7 linked regions of the Rattus norvegicus genome follow. Each later gene encodes a partner of the first gene's protein in a complex. Links are inferred from orthologs where the notes say so. Each region holds a gene or a part of one and is shown in the gene's direction. Other genes may lie near its edges. The genes, in order: Tbp, Taf7, Taf9, Taf13, Taf1d, Taf5 and Gtf2b.

Region 1 (4,287 bases):
TAAAACCCATGGGCATGTCTATGCGGGTGTTTCAAGAAGGTTTAATAGAAGAGGAAAGACCCAACCAAAATATAAGCAGTACCACCTCATTGCCTGGATTTCCGGACTAAATAAAGAAGCGAACTAATATTTATCTAATTTATGCTTCCGATTTGTGGATGCAGTCCAGGTGTCATGCTCTCCCCTGGATTGTAGCCCCTCAAGCACTAAGCCAAAATAAATCTGCTTCCCATAAATTGTCTCTTGTCAGGCCTTTGTTAAGTTTTCTTAATTCCCCAGTCTTCTGTGGTTTCCTGTACTTCCAAGAGAAAATGTTTCCTTTAGGAGAAAATAGATACACAATACTATTGTACTTATTAGAGTCTATGCATATGGCAACCTATTCAACAGCTATACACAACACACAGATTCTCTTCTCTCTCTCTCTCTCTCTCTCTCTCTCTCTCTCTCTCTCTCTCTTTCTCTTTCTCTCTATCACACACACACACACACACACACACACACACACACACCGGGGGGGGGGGGAGTAAGCACAACAACACATGTATATGCCTAGGTGAACCATGGAAGGAAAAAATTAAGGTATGTTGGAATCAAATCAAGCATTAAGAACCAGTCTAAGAAACAGCTGACGTTTTCTTGTGACAGCAAGGACGAGAGCTGGTAGTAGCAGAGTTAAAATAGAAATGAGTCTGTGACTACAAAGCCGCTTGTTTTGCTGTTCCTCTTTGGACGCAAGTTGACATTTACTGAGAACATAATAAGAAGCGTCTGCTTGCCATTCACGTTATCCATCTCACAAATCTCTAAGAGGCAACTACTACTATCATTCAACTCTACAGAGCAAAGTGGAGGACCCAGTGAGCTTGCCAAGCGATCTCTTGAGTTCAAGACCAGCCTGTTCTACAAGAGTGAGTCCCAAGACAGCCAGAGCGACAAGGAGAAACTCTCAAAAAAACAAAAACAACACGTGGAAGATCGAGGATGTATACAGTTCAGTGGTAGAACGCTTGCTTGAGCCTGATCCCCATAGCCACATCCCCAATACTGTTCCCGCTACACACTCTACATCTCTCTTTGACAGCTAGAAAGGGCGGTCAGAGGCCTGGTCCCGAAAATGCTGGGACACCAACCCAACCCCTTTCTTTCACGAGTGTCTCACAGTTTAAGCACAACAAGCCGGGCTCCAGTCGAGAGCGCAACTGGCGGAAGTGACGGCATCAGATGTGCGTCAGGCGTTCGGTGGGGTCGAGTCCGGTAGCGGTGGCGGGTATCTGCTGGCGGTTTGGCTAGGTTTCTGCGGTCGCGTCATTTTCTCCGCAGTGCCCAGGTAACGGTTCTTTCATCCTTTTCTCTGCTTGGAGGCCTTAACAAAAGCGACTTCTGCAGCGGGTCCCTGGAGTTTGCCGGAGGAGACGCGGAATGGGCGCGCGGCCGGGCGGGGAACGGTCCTCCGCGCGGGCTGCGGCGGCTCCGGGAGTACCAGTCTCTGGACCACCGCCTCGGCGGGGTCATGAAATCCAGTGCCAAGTGTGAGCCTCTCCAAGGGGCTGGCACCGGACAGCTCGGCGCACCGTACATCTCAGCTGCTTCCCCCGGTGGAAGACAGTTTTACCCAGGCCTGCGGCTGCTCGTTTTGTCCCCAGTAAGAATAATTCTATTAGGAAGCGGTTCTTGAGACGGAGCATCTCGTCAGAAGCTCGAGATTCAAGCTCAGTCGAGCTTAACATAAAAACGCACGCTTCTTTATTTACACGCTGTCAGTCTTTAGGTTCGAGTTAACGTGGTTTTCCAAAACTCCGGGTAGGCTTTTCTGGGAAAAGATGCCGGACTGGGTGAAGCAGACGCTTGAAGACTGCAGAATTGGTTTCCCAAATATTCAGTTTGATGGCTCAGTTTCCAAAAGTTGAAAACAACCTAAAAATAAGTTTGTGCAGCGATTATTGCGGTTTTAAGATGCAGATGAGAAAAGGTAGTTTAATATCGTCTGCAGGTGTGAGATGACCTCAGCGAAGGATACTACACATTCCCCAGTCTTATATAAGCGAGCGTTCAGTAAACTTTGTTTGCAGAAAGTGATCTGGATAAATCTCTGGTTATACTTTGGACATTAAATCCAGCCTTTTTTTTTTTCCCCAACCAAAACAGTGATCTCTGAAATTGAATTTTCAGTCTTCAGTTTTCTCAGATTTATCCGCTCTTGGACCAAGAAGATATTCAAACTGCACCTTAACATCCTTTAACTGTTCCCATTGTCTGTGTAGTGACATCTTATACCCTGAATTATGCAACCCTATCTACAGCTAGCTGCTTTGTCATCTTTTGTAGTGACTTTACATTCTAAGCCTGTCACATACTACATGCAAGGCTTTGTCCCCCTTTCATGTCTGTGACTTGTACTGCGATAGTGCTGATTTGTGTGGTTTTGTTCCTCTTGCTAGACCTGTGTTAGATTGTCCCTGCTTTGTGAGAGCTCAGACCTCTGGAAAGGGTACTTCAATTCCGTCTTAACTTTTAAAAGATTTACATATATGACTGTTTTGCTTATATGTCTTTATGTGTATCACGTGCATGCCCGGGCCCATAGAAGACAAAAGAGAGCTTTGGATTCCCTGGGACTGGATTTATAGCTAGTTGTAAGTAGCTATGTGGGTACTAGGAATCAAAACTAGTCCTTCTGAAGAGCAGCAGTGCTCTTGACTGCAGAACATTCTGCCACCTCTTGACTCTAATCTGTACTCTTCCATAACATTCATTCACGGTCACAAATGCCGAGACCAGTCATAGGTAGGTGCAGGTGTCTTGAAGACACTAATGTTGGTTTCAGCTTTCCAATAGCTTGCCTTACTTCGTAAACGCCTGCAGTTTTAGTGTTTGCTAAGTATTTATAGTTGTCTCCGTATTGTTTTATACCGAACTGTTTGATAAGGACCGTATCCTCTTTATCTTTGTATCTGGAATGTTGATTCGTTCACTTCTTATGGCATCTCTGAGCAAGCCATTGGTCTATATGAACTGAGCTGATTTTTAAAAATAAAGTATCTTTAAGGAATTGAGGATGGGCGTTTGCCTGCCATTTAGGAGGCTCTGGATTCTATCACTACTGCCTTTACAAAGGAAAAGAGAGCACATTTCATAGTCTCCTAATCCATATTCATATTTCACATCCATGACCACTAAAGAGCTGATGATTTAAGAAACTCAGTTCCAGGCGTGGTTTGAATTAATGTGATCTAATGAGCTAATGTTTCATCTGTTGTTTAGTCTGCCTTTAATTAAAATTAGAACACACAAAAAATGATTACCTAAAGCATATTGTGTCCAGTTCAATATGATACTTTAAGCTTGAGGTATTGGGAATGGTATAAAACCAGAATTGACTTAATAGAGCTGTACAAACAGTGCCTAGTAAGTGTTCTTTTCTTACAGTACAGTTTGCTTACGAATTAGTTTTCCCTCGGCCTTTAGTTTGCCGAGGCCTTTGCTGGGGGTGGGGCATGAGGGTGAAGGTGGTACAAAGGGCTGGTCCCTGATGCTGGTTCTTAAAAGAGATGGCTCAGAGGTTACAAGCACTGCCTACTCCTCCAGAGAACCAGGTTGGAGCCATCTCTCACACCCTACAATTTGATCTTAATCTAAACATTTATTGTCTAAGTTCACAAAGAACACACAGGTTTCAAAGTTACAAATTGTATATCCAAAGACCCATGTTTATTTTAATATGATGCCATGGTGGCTCAGTTCCAGGGCATCTGACTCTCTCTTCTGGCCTCTGCAGACACCAAGGCATGAAAGTGATATACAGGCATACACGTAGGCAAAATACCCACACATATAAAATCAATTACCTTTATGTGAGGAATCAGCTTGTGAGAGCCTGTTCTCTCCTTTCACCATTTGGTTAAACTCAGATTATTAGGATCTGAGGATCTAGGCAGCACATGCCTTTACCTACTGAACCACTTCTTACCAACCCGTTCTCCAATAATTTTTACTATTGATCTCGATACCTTAATTTTCAGTACTATTAGAATATTTAGAATATTTAAGCACACAGCCACATAAGTTTTTGGTTTTGTTGGTGGTTTTACATGAGTCACAGGAAACATAGACTAGGCTTTGGGAGTAAAGGATACATATATTCGTGTGTGTGTGTGTGTGTGTGTGTGTGTGTGTGTGTATTTACACATTTACACACACACTCCAAAACAGTTCTATGTGTTTATTTTGTGTGAGCATGAAACCTGTGTCCATTAAACTTAAAACATATTTTTCCAAGCAGCATCA
Region 2 (3,969 bases), on another chromosome or scaffold:
ATAAGCCAAGTTCTGGATCCAGGAGTGGTGCTGCACACCTTTAATTTGCGCTATACTTTCTGCAGGAGGCCTATATAAGGACATTGGAAGAAGGAAGACTCACACTTCTTCAATTGCTTGCACTTACTTCTTACTTGCCAGCACATCTGTTGGTACCCACTTCTTCAAGATTCCAGTTTATACAGAAGACTGGGTGAAAGAACTAACCTCGTGGGACTGAGAAACTAGATTCTTGAACTTTCCATTCACAGCTGCCCATTGTTGGGTTAGTTGGGCTACAGACTGTAAATCATTACATTAAAATCCCTTAATGTATACAGACATTCCAGAATTTCTGTGACTCTAGAGAACCCTAACAGTACAGACAGTACCAATGGGCAAAACAAAAACAGACCTAATTATCAAATTTCATAGTTTTGAGAAAGTCTCTAATGTACTAACCTTGTTTTTTGGCTTCTGTAGTTCTGTCTCTGGAAAGTGGTTTTTGTAACAGAAACATGCCAATGTAGAACATTTGTTTGTGCTTAAAAGCTCACCCTGAGAAAGCCTTAGGGCCACACTGGGATCCAGAACACCCAATGTAGTCGCTGGCTAGCTAATACTTTATATTGGCTTAAAACTATGTCCAAGCAGCCTTCTTTGGTGGATACCCAACAACAAAATCAGAACGTTTGTGTTTCAGGCAAGGCAATTCTGTTCTTAATGAACCTGTGTCATCATAAAAACATTTGTATACAGTTATATCTATCAAACATATTACCAAAATAGCGTATCATACATATCACACCTCGTCCTCTGGAGCCAAAAATACTAACGAAGCTAAAGGCTTAGTTCCTCTCAAAGCTAATTAACATGATTATACACAGCGTTATGTGGTAGACAGCAAAACTGTATCATTCCACTGTTTTGGCCACTTTACTTTCACTTTGTGATGCTTCCAAAGCTTTTGGCGGAGGGACCGGGTATGCCCTGGGAAGAAAAGATGCTTTCTGCAGGGACGCCCTTTATCTCTGGCAATCACTCTAGAAACTGTCTTAACCCACGACTTCATAAAAGTGCTGTCTTAGGGGGTGTGCTTATGTTTTACTTTTTGGAATCTTCATCTTTGAATTCCAAGCCAAGGTTTTTCCGGAAACACTAGTTTTAATCCTATACAAGGTAAGTTCTCACGAGAAGTAGTCACGAGACGACGTAATTACGAGAATGCGCCTGCGCGCGCCGCGACGTTACTACTTCCGGAAGAGCGGCAGCCAGCCCCTCCGCGTCTACTTCCGGTCTTTGACGTAGCGCCGCGTCTGCTTCCGCTCACTGCCGTAGCACTTTCTTTCCTTCTTTTCTGCGTGGGAGGAGGCTTGGCAAGGTCCTCTCCGGAGTTCGGATGTTTGAGCGGCAGTGTGGCGAGGTTTCGCGCTGCGGGTCCTGAGCCGTTTCGTTGTTAGCGCTCAGGTCGCCTTGCCGGGCGGCTGAAAGCGCGGACAAACTGGAAGGTAGACGCACCGCTCATCGCTGCTTTACTCAGGCCGAGAAAAGCTGAGTTCATAGTTGCTGGTGAACTGTAAGTACCCGAGCCGAAGAGCTCACGACTTTTATTTAAATCTCTTACTGGAGAGAATCCGTGGATTGGGATTGCCTGCCAGACGGACGGACTGTGCCTAAAATCCCCTCAGGCGCTGCTGTTTTCTTTGGCTGTTCACGTGATGCTGCAGCGGCGTCTAGAGGCCCTAATTTGGTATTGCATCTAGTAGAGGTGTGAGTTTAACAGGGACAATGCCAAAGTGGGATGCATGTTTAGAGATTAGTATTGGGACTTAATTATAAATTAAGACAAAATAGGCAGTAGGTGATGATCCACTTAGTTGCTGTTTTCCTTAGAACTCAGTAACTAAGAGTTTAAGATTATTCTTAACCTTGTCCTTTTTTTAACTGTTGTAGGAGCTGGAACTTGTTAGTGCAGCAGGTGTTTATTGGAGAAGTAATTCACAAGGAAGTGAAGATGAGTAAGAGCAAAGATGATGCACCTCATGAGCTAGAGAGCCAGTTTATCTTACGGTTGCCCCCAGAATATGCCGCTACTGTGAGGAGGGCAGTGCAGTCTGGGCACGTCAACCTGAAAGATAGACTGAGCATTGAGTTACACCCTGATGGGCGTCATGGGATTGTCAGAGTGGATAGAGTGCCCCTGGCTGCAAAATTGGTAGATTTGCCGTGTGTTACGGAGAGCTTGAAAACCATTGATAAAAAAACCTTTTACAAGACAGCTGATATCTCTCAGATGCTTGTAGCCACAGTAGATGGTGATCTATACCCTCCTGTGGAGGAGCCAGCTGCTACTGCTGATCCCAAAGCAAACAAGAAAAAAGATAAGGACAAAGAGAAAAAATTTGTTTGGAACCATGGAATTACTCTACCTCTAAAAAATGTCAGAAAGAGAAGGTTCCGGAAGACAGCAAAGAAGAAGTACATTGAATCTCCAGATGTGGAAAAAGAAGTAAAGCGGCTGCTGAGTACAGATGCAGAAGCTGTCAGTACTCGTTGGGAGATAATTGCTGAAGATGAAACAAAGGAGGCAGAAAATCAAGGCCTTGATATCTCCTCTCCTGGAATGTCTGGCCACAGGCAGGGCCATGACTCACTAGAGCATGATGAGCTTCGAGAGATATTCAATGACCTCAGCAGCAGCAGCGAAGATGAAGAAGATGTAAACATCATTGACACTGAAGAGGATCTGGAGAGACAGCTACAGGACAAGCTAAATGAGTCAGATGAACAACACCAAGAAAATGAAGGAACCAATCAGTTGGTTATGGGGATTCAGAAGCAGATTGATAATATGAAAGGCAAGCTTCAAGAAACCCAAGACAGAGCAAAGCGCCAGGAGGATCTCATCATGAAGGTAGAAAACCTGGCTCTGAAGAACAGGTTTCAAGCTGTTCTGGATGAGCTCAAACAGAAGGAAGACCGGGAAAAGGAGCAGCTTAGCTCTTTGCAAGAAGAGCTGGAATCACTTCTGGAGAAGTGAAAAGGTTGACTTTAGTCCTTAGACTAGTCAGCTTAAGAAGAATTTATTTTCAGAGTGAGGTCTTGAAAAATTCTTCTTTTTTCTTTGAAATATTCTTATTTCCTGTAATGCTAGGAGTTATTGTGTTGATTGTTTTCACTCTTAAGAAAATAGGATTACATAGGCAGATTTGTTGTAGTGTAAGGTTAGTGAAGTGACAACACTGAGCTTTTAATCACTTCACCATAGGACTTTATTACAATTTGTTTCCTAAGTTTCTAGTCCTATTCTTCGGTGCTAAGATCAGTAAGAAGCTAGCTAGCCTACAGGCAATGGAGTGTTTTTTTTTTTTTTTTTTGTTTTTTTTTTAAGAAATATATTTTTTTACCTTCTCAGCAAGTTTCCATGTTACAGAAATGCAAGTTTTTTCATAAAAGTTGTTTTTTGCACAATAAAAGTTACTAATTTTCACTTTGCTTATCTTGTTCTTCAATGAATACTGAAAGTTGAGGTGAGCTCATGGAGTTTAATGGCTGAGTGGTATAGATCAAGATACATGCTGTTGTTTTGCCTTTTTAGAAAAGGAATACACCAGATAAGGAAATGGAGAAATTCATCTTTGCATTATAGATTATGGTTCAGGCCTACCTACACCATCTGGAGGTTTGTGAACACTCGGTCCAGAGCCTTCTTAAACTATCCTACTTTTCATTGAAGGATATCTGTCTATATCTTTTTATTAAACACTAAAGTTATCTATAAAATACTGGAAGCAGTTAAACAGTTATCAGATGAACTATTCCACTTGCTTAGATTAAGATTATATTCTTAACTGTTGCCATTTTAATTGCTATGCTTTTTTAATAGGCATGTTTGTTCATGTTATTTCATTAGTATTTGCCACTATGAAAGCCTGTTACCAGGTCTGGTATTTTAAAATTTCATACATAGAATTTTTCTCTGAGGCATTT
Region 3 (4,073 bases), on another chromosome or scaffold:
AAATACAAAATCAACCATGTAATGTGGACTCAAAAAAGATGTTAAAACCTTTAAGTAAATTTTAAATGATTACAATTGTATCAGATAGTCTATTTGTGGTGGGATGGTATAAGTAAAAAGGTTTTCATATAAACTCCAAAGAATGAAACAGAAAAGCCACATATTTGTGCACTTACCTTCTGTTATAAAGAAAAACTAATCCCATATAAGCATTTTTATGCCTAAATTCTTATTTCATATCACGCTGCAAAGTACAGTGTATTTACAACTTAAGAGAAAGGAAAAAACACAATGAAGTAAGACTCATCAGTCACTTCGGATAAACCGGAAGTGCACTGGTCTATTTTAGAGTTGTAGGTACACACAAGCCCACCCGCTAAAATCTTTCCCACCTAATATAACAAATGCTCTTCCCCTTATAATTTAGGATTAGGGCCTGACGTTTTAAAAGGATACAAAAACGTCTGCTTAAGAAATTATACTTGTCGAAATAAAAGATACTCAACGGTCGGGGCTCTTTGAAAACAAGACTGACAATCATCACCTTGGATAAAAAACCAACTGTCTCTGATGATAAATACCAGGCTCGTGAATTACGCTGGAGATAAACGAGAACTTCAAGACTACCCCTAGCCGATCCACCTCCACCTCATACACTGCGCAGGGGACAGGGACACATCAGTCCTAGGTGTTTGTGCAATCAACAGAGAACGGAGCTGACACATCGCACCATGGCTTCAGGCCAGGGCTCCTCACCTACATCCTACACTAGTCCATATTGGAGGGCGGGTCCGGAGGACAGCCCAGGTAGGCGTAAAGACGAAGCGGGTCTCACGCCTCTAGGACATTAATAAGAAAAGCGGAAGCGTCGTCGTCCTTACTTTCTGGGAGCTGCGTCCCCTCGCGGGCGGAAAGATGTGAAGGAGGCCAGGCTGTAGTGTGGAAGGGTAACCGCCCAGCCCTCCCAGCTCAGCCGCAGGCTTCTAGGGCGGCCCGCCTCCTGGGGACCTTCCTTACTGCGGGCGCTTACGCGACGCACCAGAGGGGAGGGGCCGGCAGGCGAGCGAGTGACGTAGGCGTCCAGCGTACTGCCTGACCCGAAACGCAGGCCAGGCTTGGCGCCGTGCTTTCCCCCCATTCGGTGGAAGTGTACCTCCCGAGGCCGGGGAGTCATTGGTGCGAGCCAAGGGGGTCCTAAGTGAGTGTGAGCACCGCGAAGGGCCTCGAGGGAACCTAGCCGCGGGCGCACGCGCCCGCCCGCCCTTTCCGGCTCCTCCCTGGAGAGCGCGTGAGCCGAAGCGCTGGCTGCGTGTGAAGGAGTACTATGAAGCTTCCGAACATCCTGCTCACCGGTTAGGGCGCGCGGCGGGACTGGGCCAGGCCGGGCCGGGGTTTGTCGAGTGCTGTGAGGTCCCGGGGGGCGCTGGGTGTTCGGCCTCGGGGCTCCTCAGGCCGCGCGGCGTGCGGTGTCGTGGTCGCGTCAGGACCCGGCGCTCGCGACCGTTGGGGGAGGGGGTAGGGGGAGCGGGGGAGGCGGAGGTTCGGTTAGCCAGACGCGCCGCGGCGACGAGAAGGAGAGCGGCTGCCGGCTCCTGCTCCGTTGCCCCGCCGCCCCGGGAGACACTTAGCCTTTGTCAATCTGGTATCTTTGCCTGGAGGACCGGCTGCTGATTCTTTGTCGCGGTCGGGCTAGGGGTTTTTTTAAATCGGGGTGCTGTGAGGCAGTTTTTAGCCGTTAGGTGATGTGGTAATGGTGGGTGCCCCAGCCCTTGGGCCTTCCTGATCGCCACCCATTTTCTTTTCTTTTTTAATGCCCCGTTTGCTTCCCAAGAGGTTTCGGTAGATGATTTTGGGATGCTTGTGGAGAGAAGTGACTAGTTAACTGTTTCTTAGTTCCGTTCGCGCCACAGGCTTTGTTGTTGTTTTAGTGTTGGGGTTTCTGAGCGTTTGTGGACGTTTGTGGTGATCTGGAGCTGATCGTGGGGGCCGGGGGAAGGTTTCGGAGCTTTAATTAGAAATATTAAGTTGTAGCATCTAGTAGCATCAAAGGCCAGTCGTACAAAAATGGGATGGATGTAGATGTCAGGTAATGAATCGTAAGGTTGTTGTCTGCCTCAGCTCTACGCACTAGCTTTTAAGGTTTCTTAGGAGGAACGTTTTACAATACCTGATTTGCATGGTCAGACAGTGTCTTGGGGGGGTTAAGATTCTGAAACCAGAAGGCTACAGAGGGACCCTGGTGATGGAAATCAGTTGATAGAGAACTTATAACTAGTAGGCAGGAAACCCTGGGTTGGATCCCCAGAACTTACATAGACTAGCTGGGGTGGCATATGTCAAAGGCCAGCCCTATGTATGGGGAAAAAAAAAGAGAGAGAGCCATATCATAAGATTGAATAGGATGAGAATGTAGAGTCGTGATTTTTACTTATAATGTTCAAATTGACTTAAGTAATTTTAAGCTTGAACATTATGCATTTGATTATCTTAAAAGGGTATTAGCTATAAAGGCAGAAAAGCAAAGAACAATGTATAGTGCCATTTATACAACAGGGTACCTATGCTGTGGATATATACAATGTGTATGTGCACACATATTTAAATGCATCCCAAGTATCCTGTAGACATACACAAACTCATAGAAAGTTGAGTAAGAAACTGGTTTACAGTAGTTCCCTCTGGGGAAGTTACTAGTGTAAATAGTAGTAATGATATTTCTCATACCTCTTATATTTTTTCCATTGAATGTTTTTAAGCTTTTGTTAATGCAGCAAATGATAATGTATCCCAAGTGCCTGATTTTTTTTTCTTTTTTTTTTTTCTGGAGCTGGGGACGGAACCCAGGGCCTTGCGCTCTACCACTGAGCTAAATCCCCAACCCCCGAAGTGCCTGATTTTATGCTGGGAATTTTATATGTTGGCAGGCAGGATTGGCATCAAAATTTTTGGAGTCCTATCCCTGGAGATTAGGGTCCTGACACTAATACCCAGTAATTTCTGGAGAATTTTTTGGTTGGTTTGGTTTTGAGACAGGGTCCTGCTATGTGCCCCTGGCTGTCCTGAAACCAGCCTAGTCTGGTCTTGAAGTCACAGAGATTGACCCACCTGCCTCCACCCTTAGTGCTGGGATTAAAGGCGTGCACCACCATACCAGGCTTTCTGGGGAATTTTTATTAGTTCATGGTGTATATTCATATATGATTGCTAATTAAGAAAAATTTTATACCGTCTAAGAACTGTAAGGGCAGGGGTTGGGGATTTAGCTCAGTGGTAGAGCGCTTACCTAGGAAGCGCAAGGCCCTGGGTTCGGTCCCCAGCTCCGGAAAAAAAAAAAAAAAAAAAAAAGAACCAAGAACTGTAAGGGCAGAAGACGGCTGACATGTAGTAAGTAGGATTTGAACAGCATTTTTCTGTGGCTTCTCTTACAGGTACACCAGGGGTTGGAAAAACCACACTAGGCAAAGAACTTGCATCAAGATCAGGCCTGAAGTACGTTAATGTGGGAGATCTAGCTCGGGAAGGTAAGCGTCTCTTTGATGTTGTATTTCTGTTTTTAAGTCAGGTATAGTAGAGTGTTAGGACTGTGAAGTGTTGCTAGAGGGTCCTGGCAATGAGTGATTATGTTCTGCTAGGGGCCTGAGAAAGAAAATCACATGTATAATAGATAGTAGTATGACATAGTTATTTTGGACATTTTCCCTTCCCTACCCCAAAATAACTAGCATTATTGAGAATAGTAAAAATTGTGACGGTTTTGTTGGGAGACTGGATAGATAAGCTCTGAATATGAGGAAGAGGGAAAATGCTGTGGGCTCAGCAGACACAAAGGTTTGGGTGATTTTAAATGTATGAGACATTATATTGATCTCTCCAGGATAGACTACCGTGAACTCAAATAGGATATGACTATCATATTACTTTTTAAAAGTCACTTGGACAGTTGCATGCCCAGACTCACTGCATGTAGTCTAAAGTGTTATTTTTTACTTATTTACCCCTTTTTTCCCCTAATCTTTTATTATTTAACTTATTTGTGTCATCCTTTTTATATCCACATTTCAGAGAAGGAATTT
Region 4 (3,987 bases), on another chromosome or scaffold:
GTGTCTGATCTACTCATTACATTGCTTTGTTATTCCCGGTTTCTGTTTTGGAGTTTGAGTTAAGAGGGTTGAATTTATCCACACTTCATAGTTTATAGCCCTGCTAGCATTGTCCATAGTCCTTTGCTTTTTATTTTTTCCTTTATGCCCTATTTCTACCTTTTCTGTGCTGCCAGCTTTCTAATGCATTTAATGTCTCTGCTGTTTTGTTTGTTGCTGACCTTGAACTCAGAGATTTTCCAGCCTCTGCCTCCCCAGGCAGGGATTAAAGACGTGTGCCATCACACTTAGCTCTTTGATAATTTTAAAATGTTTTACTTATTACTGTGTATGGAAGCCAGAGGACAGCCTTGTGGAATCTGTCTTCTTACCTTTCACTTTTTATATAGGCCCAGGGATTAAACCTGAATATTAGTCTTATTCCGTGAGAGCTTTCACTGACTGTACCATCTCTCCCGCACATCTTTTGTAATTAAAAAACCAAACCCAAACCCACCCCCCTCATAAAACCCAATGTACACACACACACACACACACACACACACACACACACACACACACACACACAAAATTACGGAGGCAGGAAAGATTGCTCTGCAGCTAAGAGCATTGGCTGCTTTTCCAAAGACTTGAGTTTGATTCCCAGCCCCTACATAGCGGTTCACAATCATCTAACTCTAGTTTCAGGGAATTAGTTGCTCTCTTCTGGCCTCTTTGGCGCTGCGAACACATGGTACACATGCGTGTCTGCAAAACACTCATATACATAAAGATTATATATATATTTTTAAAAAGTATATCTATGTGGGCTTGTGTACTTGAATGCATCAGCCCCAGAGGCAAAAATTCATCATATTCCCCTGGAGCTGGAATTACAGGCATTTGGGAGTCTCCATTAGTATGCACAAATTTATCATTTATGATTTCTGAGATATGGGCTCATGAAGCTTGAGTGGTCTCGAACTCTAAGCTCTCTTGCCTCGGCCAAGTGCACGGAATTTTTTCGGTATAGTACACCACGCCTGGCATCTTTGTAATTTTTAATCCCTTCTTCAGGATTCCACGCCTAAGTACGCGTCACTGATTTTCAGCCAATCTCAAGGCCGGGGTTAGGAGAATGAGAGTGCACACCCATCTGCGCAACTCCGGCCAGGCCGGAAGTGACGCACATATCTTATAAATCTTGCGAGCCGCCCTTGGGCGGGCTCAGAAGGCTGGCGGGCTGCTAGCATGGCAGATGAGGAGGAAGATCCCACCGTGAGTGAGCGCCCGTCACAGCCTGTTTCCTCACTCCCTCTGGCTCACTAGCGGAGGCAGAGTCTGACCCTCCTGAGCCTTAGGGAATCCCGCCGAGAGTTCGGGGTCTCCGCGGTGTTTTCCTCTTCCTTCGGTTTACCTTAGTCAGTGCGTGGGGCAGGAAGGGAAGGAAAAGTAGACAGGATCTCCTTTTGATCTGGATCTTCCTGACACTGAGAGTCTAGAGAGTCATAGGAGATCAAAGCAAATACTGCGGAACCAGCAGCCCATCTGCTAACAAAACTAGTGAAAATAGTGGAGAAAAGATGAACTAAAGTCAGGAAGTTTGAGATCCAGATTCTCCTTTGGAGTTATTTAACTTAAGGCATCGGTTTTCTTGTCGTGAGATAGGGTCAAGCCCAGTTAAGGAAAGTTTTTAGCCCTGTATTGACAGGTGCTTAGTAAATGTTGCTTCTGATGGCAGCAGAGAGTAGATTTTAAACTATCAGGTCTTTTACAGTAGTAGCATTGCTTAGCAGTATGACAACTAAATGGGCTAAAACCAAACCCAGAACCTGACGTCCATTTGAACTTCACACACACACACACCCCGGGTAGGGTTGTTAGTTAGGAGCCGTAATAAAAGACTTCTTGCACGACTTGAGAAGTGGAATAGGACATAAGAGCCCTCTGATGCTAAGTTTCTATGACTTTGTGCTGTTTGCCTTAGCTTACCACTTTTGAAAATGCAAAAGGGTCACTGGGCATGGTGGTGCACACTTTGAATCCCAGCACTCAGAAAAGGATCTCTGAGTTCCAGGCAGACGGGCACATACCTTGTCTCAAAAAAAAAAAAAAAAAAAAAGTCTAGAGATTTTGCTTTAGTGCATCTGGCTACCTACAGCAGTTAGACCCCTTTTTTGGCCTCTACGGGCATTTGCAGGCATAGTCAATGTAGGCACACACAATACATATAAATAATAAATGTCTTTCAAAAAAAGATGAAAAGGGCACTGGAGTGTAGCTCAGTGGTCAATTAACTGTTTAGAATCGTGAGCTCCTAGGTTCAATTCATAGCACTCAAAAGAGAGAGCAGGAGGAGACTCTGGAGAATATCACGTGCACTGCCATCATTTGACATTTCTGTATTTTTAAATTTCTAGTTTGAGGAGGAAAATGAAGAAATTGGAGGAGGAGCAGAAGGTGGCCAGGGGAAGAGAAAGAGACTTTTCTCTAAAGAACGTAAGTTGTACTTTCCAATGCTTTTATTACAGGTGGTGAGAGCTTTTAAACATGTCCTTGGAGAGTAGGTACATTGCTCTGCATATGTTTGCTTAGAGGGACAGTGTTCTCAGACTTGCCTGTAAGGTTGTTTTTATTCCTGTTTGTTTTTGCTTTTTTTTTAAAAAAAAATTATTTTATGTATATGAGTACCAGAAGAGGGCATCAATTCCATTACAGATGGCTGTGAGCCACCATGTGGTTGCTGGGAATTGAACTCAGGACCTCTGGAAGAGCAGTTAGTGCTCTTAACTGCTGAGCCATCTTTCTAGCTCCCCTTGTTTTTGCTTTCTTTTTTTTTAAAGATAGGCTCTGCATAGGCTTGGCTATATTGGTGCTCACTGTTTAGCCCAAGCTAGCTTTGGGTGGCGGTAGTCCTCCTGCCTTAGCCTCTCAAGTATTGGGATTGCCGGTGTGCCTCCTGTGGTTGGTATAAGTCTCTTTATCATGTATACTAATTCTCTCTTTGTGACGTAAAATAATGAATGTGATTCCCCCCCACCCACACATACACTTTGAGGTGGGTTTTTTTTATTTTATTTCTTTTAGTTTTTTTTTTTTCCTTTTCTTTTTTTTTTTTTCGGAGCTGGGGACCGAACCCAGGGCCTTGCGCTTGGTAGGCAAGCGCTCTACCACTGAGCTAAATCCCCAACCCCTCTTTTAGTTTTTTTTTAAGATTGATTGATTGATTATAATTACACTGTAACTGTCTTCAGACACACCAGAAGAGGGCACCAGATCTCATTACAGATGGTTGTGAGCTGCCATGTGGTTGCTGGAAATTGAACTCAGGATTCCTGGAAGAGCAGTCAGTGCTCTTAACCACTCAGCCATCTCTCCAGCCCTCTTTGAGGTTTTTGAGACAGGGTTTTTCTGTGTAGCTCTGGCTGTCTTAGAGCTCATTCTGCAGATCAGGCTAGTTTTGAACTCACAGAGAGATACATATGCCTCCACCTCTGCCTCTGCCTCCTAAGTGCTGGGATTGACACTGTGAACCACAGCCACCCAGCTGAGGCAGGGTTTTTATATCCCAGTATGGTTTCAACCTTGGTATGTAGATGAGTATGACCTTGAACTTCTCCTGTCTGTATCCCTCGTGCTACACATAGGCCCATATGTCATGATTCCCAGTTTGTTTAGCTAAGGATTGACCCTAGTTGTGTGTGTTAGGCTAGCACTCAGCTACTAACTGAGCTACATTCATTGCACCGCTGCCCCTCCCCCTTTCTGTTTTTTTGTTTGCTTTGTTTTTGTTGTTGTTTTTCCCTTTCTGTGTTTAGCAGGGTCTCATGTACCCTAGATTGGTCTTGTATTTATTACGTAGCTGGGGATGACTATGATGTTATATTCCTCTTGTGTCCACCTTTCAAACGATGTAAGTTGAGGCTTTGGACTAAGGCACTGATCAGGGCAAGAAAGTGAAGTCTGGGGTACTAACAGTGTCGTTAACCTTCCATCATACTCCTTAGG
Region 5 (4,225 bases), on another chromosome or scaffold:
CAGATAGTCAGAGCTGTTCCAGCCAGATGAAGGCAAATATTTACTTTCCAGATTTAAGTGGTGGGAGCAAATGGCTCAGAAACGGGGTAGAGAAAGAGTGAACGAGCAGGAAGGTAAGTGCAGTTCGAGAAACACTGAAGGCCACAGACTAGTCACAGCAACCATGCTGAATGTCACTATAAAGGCCACCCTGTATTCGGAAACTGTCAGGCTCTCTAAGTCTCTCAGAATTCTCAAATCCATGACAGACTTATATTGTATCCTTATTACACAGAAGAGGAAACAACATTTACTCAAGGCGTTCAGTTACTAATTGGCAGAAACAGATTTCAAAAGCAGATTCAAGCCAGGCATGGTGGTGCACAAGTTCAGTTCCAGCACTGGAGGCAGAGGCAGGGGCAGAGGGGTGCAGAGGTAAGAGGTTCTCTGTGAGTTTAAGGCCAGCCTGGCTTATGTATCAGGTTCTTGGACACACAGAAGAGAGACGTGTCAAACAACAGCAGAATGCACTCTATCCCAAGCTGATTCAGCGGTGAAGAAACAGCCCCTCAGCTGACCAAGGGAGAGTTCAGATAGATCCTGCAGCACCTATGATATGAGAACTGACCATGCTTCAGCTTCATTTTCCTCCTACACCGGATGTCTTCTCTCCTCCAAGTATGCCACACACAGTAGGTAGTTTATTAGCTAATTATTAAGTATTTATGATATACCAGGCTTTTATGATATACTAAACTAGCAGGGTTCAAGCACAAAGGCTGGCTCTACAGCTTTGCAAATAGTACAGTCAGCCGCATAGGATCCTATATTCATAAAGATCTAACCACACACACAGGCTTTTGTTTGCTTTTTTGTTTTGTTTTGTTTTTCTCGGTGGTGCCATGCACACTAGGCAAGGTCTCTATAATCCAGTTTTATCTCTAGGCCAACGACTTTACATTAGAAATGCGTTTGTCTGTGAGAACTTATGGGACAGTGAAGTATGAGCATGTACGCCCTCTCATCAGACCTTGTCACCCACTGAATAAGGTGTTTGTAATCTTCCGTTAGAACTTAAGTCCACAGAGTGTCCGTGTTGCAGGATCCTACAGACTGTTGGCAAACTGTACAAGGAACGAAAAGTAGAAGTGAGGCAAGTGAGTACAAAGCTACACTACACAAATACATAGCACAGGCTACCCTTAGTCTGACAGTGAACTCTGCGTGCTCACCACAAGTCGATGCTCACCTGACCCGCAGTGTCTTGGAGGAATGCCTTGCTTGCACTCAGGAGCACAGGTTCACTCTCCTGCTTCTATTTTCTGATAGCTTCAGGCCAAGGGAAGAGCCGGGTACCGCCCCTCCCGGAGGCCCGCCCATCACAGAGTCCGCACGCATAACCACGCCCACGGACGTGCCCTCACGCGAGATTTCATCCTAGTCCTAGTCAGGCTGCTGGGCGCGAGAGCGCTCTTTTCGGCGCGGCGAAAGAGGTAAACGGTTGTTCGTCTGGGGTGCTCCGGTCTACGGCGGCCGACCGGGCGGGGTCGCCGGGACCGCGGGGACCATGGGGGCCGCAGGGCGGGCTCCTTAGGCGGCTGTCCGCCCGGAAACGGCGCTCTCGTAGGCCTAGGAGCAGCGGAGCGGGCCAGGCTCCGGCCTTCCGCAGACCGCGCGAGGCTCGGAGTCGCTGTTGGGAGAGGCCGAGGTGTTCTGGGCCTGGAAGGCGTTTTTAGTGTCTTTAAGCGGTCGTGTGCTGCCTGCCCACATATCTTACGTGCTTAAGTAAGGGTCTTGTCAGCCGGCCCACGGCACAGGTTGGACTCAGCTCACCACGTGGCCTCCAAAGCTTGCAGTCGCGAATTTGAAAGGAGCATTCAGGTAGGAGTGGTTCCTAGATAGGGTTCTACAGTGATTATCTTCGGATCTATCCACAGGTGTATAGTGGGTGCAAAAAGGCCAACCTGAAATTTCAGTTTTGATGGGTTAATTTAAAAAGGCAGTTCATGCAGTGGGTATTTTGCAATCTAAGGACATAATCACCTGTTTTTCTTAGCCTTGAAAACTGTGATTAGTTTAGTTCTAGGATTTGTGTAGCCTAAGTTAACTTTTGAAGTTTTTTTCTCCTTAGCACAAGTGGCCCTCTTACCTACTTCTTACTTTTACACACGTGCATGCAGTGCTCACAGCCCACAAGAGGGATATCGACTCTCTTAGGAATGGTTACAGCTATTTTTAAGCTGCCATGTGGGTGCTGCGAGTCTAATCTTAAGACCATTGAAGAGCTCTTAGTCCATTGGCAGTACTCTTAACTACTAGGCCATCTTTCCAACCCTAATCTAAAGGTTCTTGTACACGCTGTTAGTATCCCAACTACCCGAACTGATGCTTATTTTAGTGTCTAGTGGGCAGCCCAGATTGGAATTAGAAATGCTATATTACTATGTGAGGCTATGTGGTGGTTAAAGCAAAGTGGGCAGATTTTTAGAGAGAAAACAAACTACATTGGAATGTGGTTTGCTTCCACATTCTGTGGAATGTATGCTATGTGTGTGAGTACTCTGGAAGGCAAAGTGCCGTAGCCTCATGGAGCTGGAGTGAACTGCTTACAATCGTAAGCAACCCGTTGTGGGAACTGAAATCTGGAAAAGCAGAGGAGCTCTGCTTAGCTCACTTAAGGGCTTCAAAAGTAGATCTGAAATGTAGGATCCATAGGGATTTTTACAGAAACTGACATAGTGGTAAGGAGTGTGTTGAACTTTCTATTAGAATGCTGTGTATGTGAAGGGGCATCATTGAAATTTGTAATTGCAGAAAACTGGGTAAAGCAAAGTGATGGCTCAATCAGAGGTGGATTCTGTTGACTGTGTGACATCGGATAGAGATGGGGACATTGGAAATCAAAGGTAGGTAAACTATAGATTCAGTCCAAATGTTCAATTTATTTTGAGGAGGGTCTCAATAAATAGAGCCATGGCTGACCTCACCCAGATAATCCTGCCTATCTACCTCCCAAGAGTTGGGATTAAAGGCATGTCACCACACCCTGCAGTCCAGCATATTTGAGTGCTGGGGAGTTTTATTTGTATTGCTTGTCCATAAAACATGGAAAAGCTGAAGATTAACATATTATTAGCTTGACTAATCGTTAAAAAAACTGTCTTGTGGGGCTGGAGAGACGGCTCAGCGGTTAAGAGCACTGACTGCTCTTCCAGAGGTCCTGAGTTCAATTCCCAGCAACCACATGGTGGCTCACAACCATCTGTAATGGGATCTGATGCCCTCTTCTGGTGTGTCTGAAGACAGCTACAGTGTGTTCATATGCATAAAATAAATAAATCTTTTTAAAAAACTGTCTTGTTTTATATAAAATAGTAAGGACACGGTGGTTAACTGGTACTGAGTTCATTCTGAAATGCTGGGTATGATTTTAGGGGATTGTACTTGGAACATGTACTTTTAACATGTTTTTTAGAGTGGATTGCGTGTCTATTCTGGTGCTCTTAGGTGTGGGAGCTGTGAAACTGAAGGGATGCATGATTGTGAGCTGCCTGGGAGAATGGCCTTGCCACTCCTGGGGGATTAATTATATCTAGTGGTAATTCAGTAATGCAATTTAACTTTTGTTTTAGTGATGACTCATCCAATAGCAGCTTATTTAAAACACAGTGTGTTCCTTCACCTACAAGAAAGCAAAGAATCCCTACTGTGAAATGTGTTCCTTCACTTGCAAGTGTTGAAACAGATTCATCAAGTGACTCTTCTCTAGAACCAAGGCCTTTGACTTTAAAGGCTATTTTTGAAAGATTTAAGAAAAAGAAAAGGAAAAAGAGGAAAAAGAGAAAATATAAGCCAAAGTTAAGACGACAAGGAAGACCATCTGGAACGAGGAACATTAGAAGGTCACAAATAGATGCAAAACAAATTAAAGACAAAGGAGCTGTGTTTCCATTCTTAGAATCTGAAAGTGGAAGAAAGACTTTACCTTGGAAGAAAATTTTAACATATGAGGTGAGTGATTTTTTTTTTTAATGTAGGTGAATACATTAAGTAGGATGGAATGGTTTGTTGGTCATTCTTTTTTCTTTTAAAAGATTGATTATATATAAATACACTGTAGCTGTCTTCAGACACCAGAAGGCATAGGATCCCCATTTCAGATGGTTGTGAGCCACCATGTGGTTGCTGGAATTTGAACTCAGGACCTCTGGAAGAGCAGTCAGTGCTCTTAACCACTGAACCGTCT
Region 6 (4,139 bases), about 190 Mb from region 1:
GCGGGAATCACTGTACTTGAAGTCATTAACCTCAGCTAAAGCACAACCTAGACACTGGAATTTTGAGACCTGCATAGAGAGGACAAAGGTGGCCATACTTCCCTGAGTCAGACGCCCTCTTCTGATCTCCTCTCAATTAAGGGCTGCTATTGTATCAGCATCGCAACACTTGCCTAGTATTCAAGAGGTAGGGCGAGGTTCACCATCAGTATTGCCCCCCAAACAACAACAAAATGGTAACAATGGGTAATTAATCCACAGTAGAGACATTTCAGTCACAAAAATTTATATGCAAAAAACTTTTTAGCTGGATCCCTACACTTGGAAGGTGAAGGCAGGAGGACCAGAAATTCAAGGTTGCCTTAACTACCAGCAGGTTCGAGGCCAGCCTGGGTGCACAAGACCCTGCATAAAAACGATCTTTTCTTTAAAAAGGAAAAACATATTGTTAAAGACAGAAATGTTTCATTTGGTAACAAGGAATGAAAAGAAATTAACTTTTTTCTCTTCAAATTTATAATTGATTTTGTTGATTTTGTTCTTGTTGGAGACAAGGTCTCCCTGTGTGGCCCTGATTATCTAGAACTTGCTGAGGCCACCCTATGACTATCTGTGACTTAAATTTATTTTTAAAAACTACATCCAGGGGGTTGGGGATTTAGCTCAGTGGTAGAGCGCTTGCCTAGGAAGCGCAAGGCCCTGGGTCCGGTCCCCAGCTCCGGAAAACAAACAAACAAACAAACAAACAAAAAACAAAAAACAAAAAAACCAAAAAACCTACATCCAGTTTAAAGGCTTTTTTTTTTTTATTACAACATATAAAGTTCACAAAAACTTGTATTTTTACAGGAATAAAAACGGGAAAAAAAAGTAACCATGGCTCAGCTCACAGTATTACAGAGAGAGCCTTACCGGTAACTAGGAGGTCTCTGATAAATCAGATGTGCTTTTGGATTAAATGCCTTGGGCGTGAATCTTTTTCTTCGTGTGTGATTTTAGCATGGTATTAACCTCTTTGGGTTCCGGTAAGCCATCCGTAAAAACTCCAGGGATTAGCACCTCTAAAATTGAATTAAAAGAGCTCGTATAATTTAAAACGGCTACCTCAATCCCCGAGTGTAGCCTGCCTGCAATAAACGATAATTATCAGGCAAATGCAAGAGACGGTAACCAACTCCCACTTCCTGCCTCCCTGCCTTTCACTCAGTTTTGAAAGTAGCTCTTTCTCACTCCTTTTCTCCTCGTTAGCTCCTCCTCCTGCCGTAAATGGCCTGCTCCAGCTGTCGTGAAACGCCCTACCCCGCCCTCCATGTGGCGAAAACGCAGTCACGCTTGACGGCGCGAGGTGGCTCAGCCGCAAGATGGCGGCGCTGGCGGAGGAGCAGACGGAGGTGGCGGTCAAGCTAGAGTCTGAGGGACCGCCAACGCTGCTACCTCCGCAGGCTGGCGACGGCGCAGGCGAGGGTAGCGGTGGCACTCCTAACAACGGCCCCAACGGCGGCGGCGGGAATGTGGCGGCGGCGGCCGGTGGGGACGGCGGGACCCCCAAACCAGTGGTGGCTGTTTCTGCCGCTGCCCCGGCGGGGGCGGCCCCGGTGCCCGCCGCTCCCGCGGAGGCCGGCGCTCCTCACGACCGACAGACTCTTCTGGCTGTGCTGCAGTTCCTACGGCAGAGCAACCTCCGCGAGGCCGAAGAGGCACTGCGCCGTGAGGCCCGGCTGCTGGAGGAGGCGGTGGCGGGCTCCGGAGCTCCGGGAGAGTTGGACGGGGCTGGCGCGGAGGCGGCTAGTGCGCTTCTCAGCCGGGTCACCGCTTCAGTTCCCGGCTCTGCGGCCCCCGACACTCCGGGAGCCGGCGCTTCGGTGACCTCAGTGTTCTCAGGTTCAGCCTCAGGTCCTGCGGCTCCGGGAAAGGGTGAGTCTCGGGGTACCGGGTGAGCAGTGCCGGCTTGAAGGGGAGCTAGCGGGGAAGGCAAGGGCTGGCAGGCCTGCACCTCTGCGGGCTTGTTTTGAATTTCCTGGGCCCGCCTCTAGGGCCACATGCCCGCCCCTTTCTCTACTGCGCCGGCTGCGCAGTCAAACCCTCTTCTGAGCTGTCAGTTCCAGCCAGAGGCTGAGCAGAGATGTGGAGCGGAGGGAGGGAGGAAGGGAGGTGCCGGGCCCGGGGATTGACAGAAGAGGGGAACCTTAAGGTTTCGGTGTTTCTACTCTTACTTGGATTTAGGATTAGGTTCGCGTGAACACGAGTATCGTACTGTTCTGTTCCCATACTACTATTGTACTGCAAGTACTTTTCTGTGTCTTGATTTTTTTCTCTCTCACAATTGTATAGTTCTCATCTCTCCTTTTGAGAGGAGAAAATGGACTTTTTGAGCAAAGCCGAAAGGCTTGCTTTGGACCACACATCCAGAGTGGTGGTAGTCAGTGTTTCTTAGATTGTGGACTGAGAACCACCGGTGTTAAGTATTTTAGAGGATGCAAACATCTCAGCATCACCTCTGGCTTAAACTGTAGGGGGAGAGTCTGGGAATCTGCCATAGAGCTTCTAAGGAGTGCTTTTGAAAACTCTTAATTTTACAGGTAGGAGTGGCAGACCTTTTTGTCTCTGTTGCTTTTCCGTGTGTGATGTCAGTTAAAGGCATTTTTTTCTAGTTTTTTTTTTTTTAACTAAGAAGTTATTATGAGTTTAAGATGTAATGTGTAATGTGCCTAGTACTGAAAGTTTAGTTCCTGAATCCAGTTACTGACAACTCCTGTTTCTCCCAGAAACAGTTGTCACAAATCCAGATAGTAAAACACACATTTCAGAGGAAGACACCTGCTGCTATGCCTGACCACCTGATTGGGTCCTCAAAACCCATACGGTGGAAGAAGAGACCCAGCTACCTGAAAGTTGTCTTTACTATACACCAAACTTCAACTTTTCAAAGATATACTTAGTTGAAGTTCTCAAACGAGATCAGTAAATATTGAGTTAAATTATCCAGGTTAGTGGTTCTAGACATGTTAACCTGTTTCAGTGAGAGCATTGCCAGAAAGGAAGCTTGAACACACAGCACTGTGATTGATAAATAGAAATGTGTCATGTGTATAATGGCAGCACTTGGGATGCTGAGGCAGGAGAATTACTGTGAGATCAAAGCTATCCTCAGCTAAATATAGTTATGGGGGAAGGGAGGGATAAGTAAAAATATGTGGAGAATGTGACTGAGAAGGAAGATCTTTTCTGTATGCCAAATTTTGTGACTATATTCTAACAACTTATATTATTTTTCTAATATCTCTCATCTGTCAAGAAACTTGACTTTTTTTTTAGATCATACTCAAGAAACCAAGGAGAAAAAGAGACCATGAGAATGACTACAAAATTATATCTTTAATTATAATTTTTTCAGTAAAGAGTGTGTGTAATCACTTTTTAAAAAACATAAAAGCATATAATACTATAACCGTAGTTTGCCAAAATTTTCAACATCCAAACTCTAATTTGATTTTTAAAAAGCATTATTTTTTTTTGTATCGCTGTATTACGAACAAATACTCAGGCTTTCTACCTTGCAATGATTGGTTATAGAAATTACTTCACATATACACAGTTGAGTTGTAGTCTTTTACATTCCAGAGCCATAACAAATGCTCCCCTTTTTCCTTGAAATGCTGATGTTTTATATGAGGTGATGTTTGAATGTGAGGGTATCACAGGATTGATATTACAGGATGTACAAGGTACTTGAGTGTGATATGTGTCATTTGCACTGAGCCTTGAGAGGAGATTAACATAGCTGTTAGCTTTGCACATCCATTTGTTTATTTATTTGGTGCTCTTGGTAGTTCAGCCCAGGGCCTTGTGCATGTTAGACAGGTCTTAGCTACCTAACACGTTCTCAATCCTTATGACACAGTTCTAGGAAAAATGTTGACTATTCTTGTTATTGATTTAAACATGTAAGCTACAATCAAACTGAAGAGCTTCTGGCTTGGTTAATCAAAAACACCCTGAATGCTATTAAAATGGCTTGTGACTGTGAGCTGGCAGGTAAAGGTATTTGCCACCGAGCCTGACAAACTAAGATCGGTCTCCGGAATCTCCATTATGGAAGGAGAGAATTGTCTACTGAATTTGTCCTCTGATCTCCATGT
Region 7 (4,109 bases), on another chromosome or scaffold:
CTCCAACCAAACCAGAAATTCCCACTTCAACAATGGCATTTGATGGCCATTAACAAATAAAATGCTTACTGAGTTTTCGTCTCAGTGGAAGATGCCCACCTTGTGGTTATTTTGATTCAGATTTTGTCCACTGGGTTTATTTACAAGAGTGTATCGTTATTACCTTAAGGAAAGAGGGTGGGACCTGAGACAGGGTCTCACTCTGCAGGTCAGGCTGGCTTGGGATTCCAGACTGCCCACCTCTGCAACCTAAGTGCTAGAATTACAGGGGTGAACCACAAGACCTGCCTTATTATTTCCAGGTTGGTACGAGTTTAGCTGATTAATGCATCTGGGCCCTAGGACAGTCGTTAGCTGTTTTATCAGTTTTTCTATACTCAGCTTTCAGTCAAATGTCCAATGATGATTGGGGAAAGACAAAAACCTGGGTCATAGCAGGGCCAGACTCTCTGTCTGCCTCACAATATATATGGCTATCACTGGGCTCTCTTGGATCTCTTGCAATTCTAGAAGGGTTTGTGAGGCAGACACCCTCTATTCCCTACACTATTGAGGTAAAGGACATGTAGGAACTTTGAATCATGTTGGTCTATGACAGAGCTTGAATTGATAACCTGTTCCTCAAGACAACAGCTAATTTCTCTTTTTATTACAAATTCCTTAGGGCAAATGAGAGATTCAATCAGACAGGGAAAACTGACTGAAAAATAAAAAAGTGGTTTGGTGTGAGGGCTTTGTCCCTTTCAACCAACCTGGTTTCCTTGTGTGTTGTTTGTTTAAAGGTGTTTGTTTGAAACGTGGTCTGACTCCAGATCCTCCTCCGACCTTCTTACTGCAGGAATACAACAGGAGATCTGAGGCAACTCCCATTTTAATCTGGTCTGTTTGAGAGCTAGCTCTGGTGCAGCTCATCCTGAGACTCTTCTTGCTTTGGCTTTTTGTTTGACTTGTTTGAACTTTCTCTCCTCCCACCACTCCCCCACCCTACCTCCGGCTGTTATGGAGCTCCTAGTGTAGACCGGGCTTCCCCTAAACTCACAGAGATCCTCCAGCCTCTGCCTCCCGAGATTAATGATGCGTGCTATCACGCCAGGCTTTGAAATTTTGCCTATTAATAAGCAGCCGAGAGCCACGCAGCAAAGAAAACCAGGAAGTACACAGCCCGCGTCGTCATGCACCCAACACTTTTTGGCCTTCCTCCCGACCCGTAGCTGCGCGGAGTGCGCGCGAGTGACTCGCACATAAAATCCCGGCTCGGGGCGTCTAAGAGCCAGTGCTGCTTCCTGCTTTGGACGGAGCTGTTGGCGGAGCCTTGAAGATGGCGTCGACCAGCCGGTGAGTGCAACGGCCTCCGAGCGAGTGGAGATGGGGATCGCGGGGCCGAGGCTCCTCCAGAAGGCCGCCACGGGCGTCCCTTGTCCGCCTGAGTCATCGCCCCCCGGGCTTGTCCCTGCGGATCGGCACGGCCCCGACCTCCGTCTCGGTCGGACCCTCCAACCGTCTTTGTGTCATGTTAATGTTTTCTGTGTATTTCCTCCCTTATGGCCCATCCGGTCTGAGGGTCCGAAACCGCCTTTCCAAAAGCTGGGGAAGCGACGTTCCAGGACCCTGTCGATCTGACAGCCACAAAGTTGAGAAACGTCAACATTGGTTGTCTGGTGGAAAGGGTCGCCAGCTCAGTGGCTCCCCCGAGAAGTGGAAATGAAAGCACATACGGAGACTTGATTCATTCTCCTAAAAGATCCCACCCCCGTCCCCACCCCGAAAAGTATCATTGCATACTCCGAAGGAGATGCTGTCTGCAGAAAATTAATTACATATGCTGGAAGTCATTTTAAATGTATTTTTAAAACGCAGTGCACTTAATATCTACAGGAAATGCGTGTTGTGTCCTCAGAGACGGCCTTTAATCTTGTGACCTGCAAAATGCTTTGCAGACCCTAATTATATATCTCTTGTAACCACTATGAGGTACATATTAGTATATTGGCATATGTGTAAACTGAGTCATGCTAGCATGTTGACCTTTCCAGTGCCTAGTATACCTATTTGTGATTATCATTCCACTGGTCTCCAGTTAACACAGAATGTACAGAAAGTATCAAATTAAGTTCTTCACTACTGGCACTTTTTTTCTGAAGTGGTTACTCTGTGTGGAGTTGCTAAACGTCACCACAGGAAGCCATTATTCACCAAAACCTCGGCCCATTCTGGGAACCTCCAAGTCTGCGGTTTATTATAAAAAGTGGGAGGTGGGCATAGGAAGCCGCTTCAACTTCATGTGTGGAAGCCATGGACACTCTTGTTTACTGATTATGGTTTAATTAGATTAATTATGATTTAATCATTCCATCTGGGTGTGGTTTTATCAGGTAAGGCTTCCTTGTAGGGACATGGGAACCTTCAGCTTCCCCAAATACTGTTGAAATTTCCCATGGCTGACGTGGAATCTGAGTGTGTTCCTATGTAGGCATTGCTTGTCTTTCCGTATGGAAAAGGAACTCCTATATTCTTGAAACACAAGTGGTAGTGTTTGAATAGTATACATTGTAAAATCACTGGTTACAATTTTTAAACTTTTCTTCCCTTAAAAATTTCCTTGAAATTTATTTTTTTCTGGACAGCCAGTTTTTGTTTTTGAGTTACTGGTCTAGAATCTTCCTGTCCACCTTGAAAGCTAGGGGATTGCAGATATGCCTGGACCTCATCCAGCTTTTCAATCTGTCATTATTGTTCCTATCATGTTTTTCCACCAGTGTGAGTAGAGAGAAGTCACTGGTAGATTTTTGCCTGAGAGTTTGTCCTTGAGGGTGGTATGTCGTTGGCACTGGCTGGTGTTCATTTTCCAGGAGGACATGTCCCGAGGGACGCCTACTACTTATTCTGACTTCAGTAACTTTGACCACCATCTCTAAAATGAAAATAGTGCCTGTCTTTCAGGATGTGTAGATTGAGCTTCAAAATGTATTTGGGGCTGGGGAGGGGCTCCATGGTTAAGAACAGTGGCTGCTTTTCCAGAGGACTTGGGTTTAATTTCCAGCACCCACATAGCAAGCTCATGAACTCTAACTCCAATTCCAGGGTATCTCTTCTCCTGTCTCTGTAGGCACCAAGTCATATTCATGCTTCACAGACAAACATGCAGACAAAAAGCCATACTAAAATAATGTTCAAGGCAGTATCATTTAAACACACTGCAGAGTTCTTGATGTTTCCCTCTCTTAAATGCTAGGGATTGAAACCAGGACTTGTATATACTAGGCGAGCATTCTCCCACTAAGCTACATCCCCAGCCTCTTTGCCTACTTTGGTTTTTGAGACTGTAGAGTAAGCTGCCCTGCAACTCTTATGTACAGTTAGTTATCGGTGAGCGCCATTCCCAGTCCTTGACCTGCTATTTACTTATCTACTTATCTATTTACCTTTTGAGGCAGCCTCACTCTAGTCTATGTATAGTATAATATATAGTATTTTATATATATATATATATATGTATATATATTATATAGTATTAGGGTGGCCTCGAGTTGATAGAATACCTTAGTTCTGTTCCATCAGAGCTGGCTGGATAGCCTTGTTGGTAGTGCCAGACTATGTTAATCCTTACCATACTGTTAGGTTAACTTCCTGCTTTGTTTATTGCTCTTATTCTGCTAACATTTCCCTTATTTTAGCAGCTTTTTGATTTTTATGTATACTTTCCATAATTTACTTTTTCTCTAACAAATTTACAGAACAACTGCAAGTATAAAGCAGTGTCTGCCCTCTCCCATTTTCCCAATTAGAAAACTCCAGGATATGTTTTAATTAAGCAAATAAGTCTGGTGGTTTACATGTGAATTCTTTTAAAAATCAGCTTCCCATATGACTTGGTTGTTGGTAGTTAGGGAGCTGGAGAGATAGATACCTGTGGGGAAGGGCACTTGTTGCTTTTGCAGAAGACCTGCACACACACAGTAACTGTAATTCCAGGGCATCCCTGGGAACTAACCATTAAGACAGTACAGCACACACATGCAGGGAAAACACACATAAAACAAAAAAATCCTTAAGAATAAGTGAATAAAAAACAATGTAGTTGCTAAAACATTCTGAATCATACTAGCTAG

The links.
Region 2: Tbp (region 1) and Taf7 share a complex: the UniProt entries of both Homo sapiens proteins name them as parts of the TFIID-containing RNA polymerase II pre-initiation complex. The link is inferred for Rattus norvegicus from reciprocal best matches to the Homo sapiens genes TBP and TAF7.
Region 3: Tbp (region 1) and Taf9 share a complex: the UniProt entries of both Homo sapiens proteins name them as parts of the TFIID basal transcription factor complex. The link is inferred for Rattus norvegicus from reciprocal best matches to the Homo sapiens genes TBP and TAF9.
Region 4: Tbp (region 1) and Taf13 share a complex: the UniProt entries of both Homo sapiens proteins name them as parts of the TFIID basal transcription factor complex. The link is inferred for Rattus norvegicus from reciprocal best matches to the Homo sapiens genes TBP and TAF13.
Region 5: Tbp (region 1) and Taf1d share a complex: the UniProt entries of both Homo sapiens proteins name them as parts of the transcription factor SL1/TIF-IB complex. The link is inferred for Rattus norvegicus from reciprocal best matches to the Homo sapiens genes TBP and TAF1D.
Region 6: Tbp (region 1) and Taf5 share a complex: the UniProt entries of both Homo sapiens proteins name them as parts of the TFIID basal transcription factor complex. The link is inferred for Rattus norvegicus from reciprocal best matches to the Homo sapiens genes TBP and TAF5.
Region 7: Tbp (region 1) and Gtf2b share a complex: the UniProt entries of both Homo sapiens proteins name them as parts of the TFIID-containing RNA polymerase II pre-initiation complex. The link is inferred for Rattus norvegicus from reciprocal best matches to the Homo sapiens genes TBP and GTF2B.

The regions. Positions count from the first base shown.
Region 1 is NC_086019.1:65,135,221-65,139,507, forward strand, and holds the start of Tbp (TATA-box-binding protein), read left to right. Parts: upstream 1-1,487; 5' UTR 1,488-1,645; intron 1,646-4,282; 5' UTR 4,283-4,287. UniProt on the Homo sapiens protein: The TFIID basal transcription factor complex plays a major role in the initiation of RNA polymerase II (Pol II)-dependent transcription.
Region 2 is NC_086036.1:29,710,676-29,714,644, reverse strand, and holds Taf7 (transcription initiation factor TFIID subunit 7), read left to right. Parts: upstream 1-1,320; 5' UTR 1,321-1,555; intron 1,556-1,932; 5' UTR 1,933-1,993; coding exon 1,994-3,019; 3' UTR 3,020-3,469; downstream 3,470-3,969. UniProt on the Homo sapiens protein: The TFIID basal transcription factor complex plays a major role in the initiation of RNA polymerase II (Pol II)-dependent transcription.
Region 3 is NC_086020.1:33,527,115-33,531,187, forward strand, and holds the start of Taf9 (transcription initiation factor TFIID subunit 9), read left to right. Parts: upstream 1-1,273; 5' UTR 1,274-1,324; coding exon of another isoform or gene 1,325-1,352; exon of another isoform or gene 1,353-1,500; intron 1,501-1,528; exon of another isoform or gene 1,529-2,086; intron 2,087-3,428; coding exon of another isoform or gene 3,429-3,521; intron 3,522-4,073. Other genes in the region: Ak6 (adenylate kinase isoenzyme 6), read left to right, coding at 1,325-1,352, 3,429-3,521. UniProt on the Homo sapiens protein: The TFIID basal transcription factor complex plays a major role in the initiation of RNA polymerase II (Pol II)-dependent transcription.
Region 4 is NC_086020.1:198,892,145-198,896,131, forward strand, and holds the start of Taf13 (transcription initiation factor TFIID subunit 13), read left to right. Parts: upstream 1-1,187; 5' UTR 1,188-1,230; coding exon 1,231-1,257; intron 1,258-2,399; coding exon 2,400-2,478; intron 2,479-3,987. UniProt on the Homo sapiens protein: The TFIID basal transcription factor complex plays a major role in the initiation of RNA polymerase II (Pol II)-dependent transcription.
Region 5 is NC_086026.1:20,426,551-20,430,775, forward strand, and holds the start of Taf1d (TATA box-binding protein-associated factor RNA polymerase I subunit D), read left to right. Parts: upstream 1-1,425; 5' UTR 1,426-1,472; exon of another isoform or gene 1,473-1,860; intron 1,861-2,793; 5' UTR 2,794-2,814; coding exon 2,815-2,885; intron 2,886-3,611; coding exon 3,612-3,990; intron 3,991-4,225. UniProt on the Homo sapiens protein: Component of the transcription factor SL1/TIF-IB complex, which is involved in the assembly of the PIC (preinitiation complex) during RNA polymerase I-dependent transcription.
Region 6 is NC_086019.1:255,898,435-255,902,573, forward strand, and holds the start of Taf5 (transcription initiation factor TFIID subunit 5), read left to right. Parts: upstream 1-1,339; 5' UTR 1,340-1,361; coding exon 1,362-1,914; intron 1,915-4,139. UniProt on the Homo sapiens protein: The TFIID basal transcription factor complex plays a major role in the initiation of RNA polymerase II (Pol II)-dependent transcription.
Region 7 is NC_086020.1:234,426,425-234,430,533, forward strand, and holds the start of Gtf2b (transcription initiation factor IIB), read left to right. Parts: upstream 1-1,309; 5' UTR 1,310-1,318; coding exon 1,319-1,335; intron 1,336-4,109. UniProt on the Homo sapiens protein: General transcription factor that plays a role in transcription initiation by RNA polymerase II (Pol II). Involved in the pre-initiation complex (PIC) formation and Pol II recruitment at promoter DNA.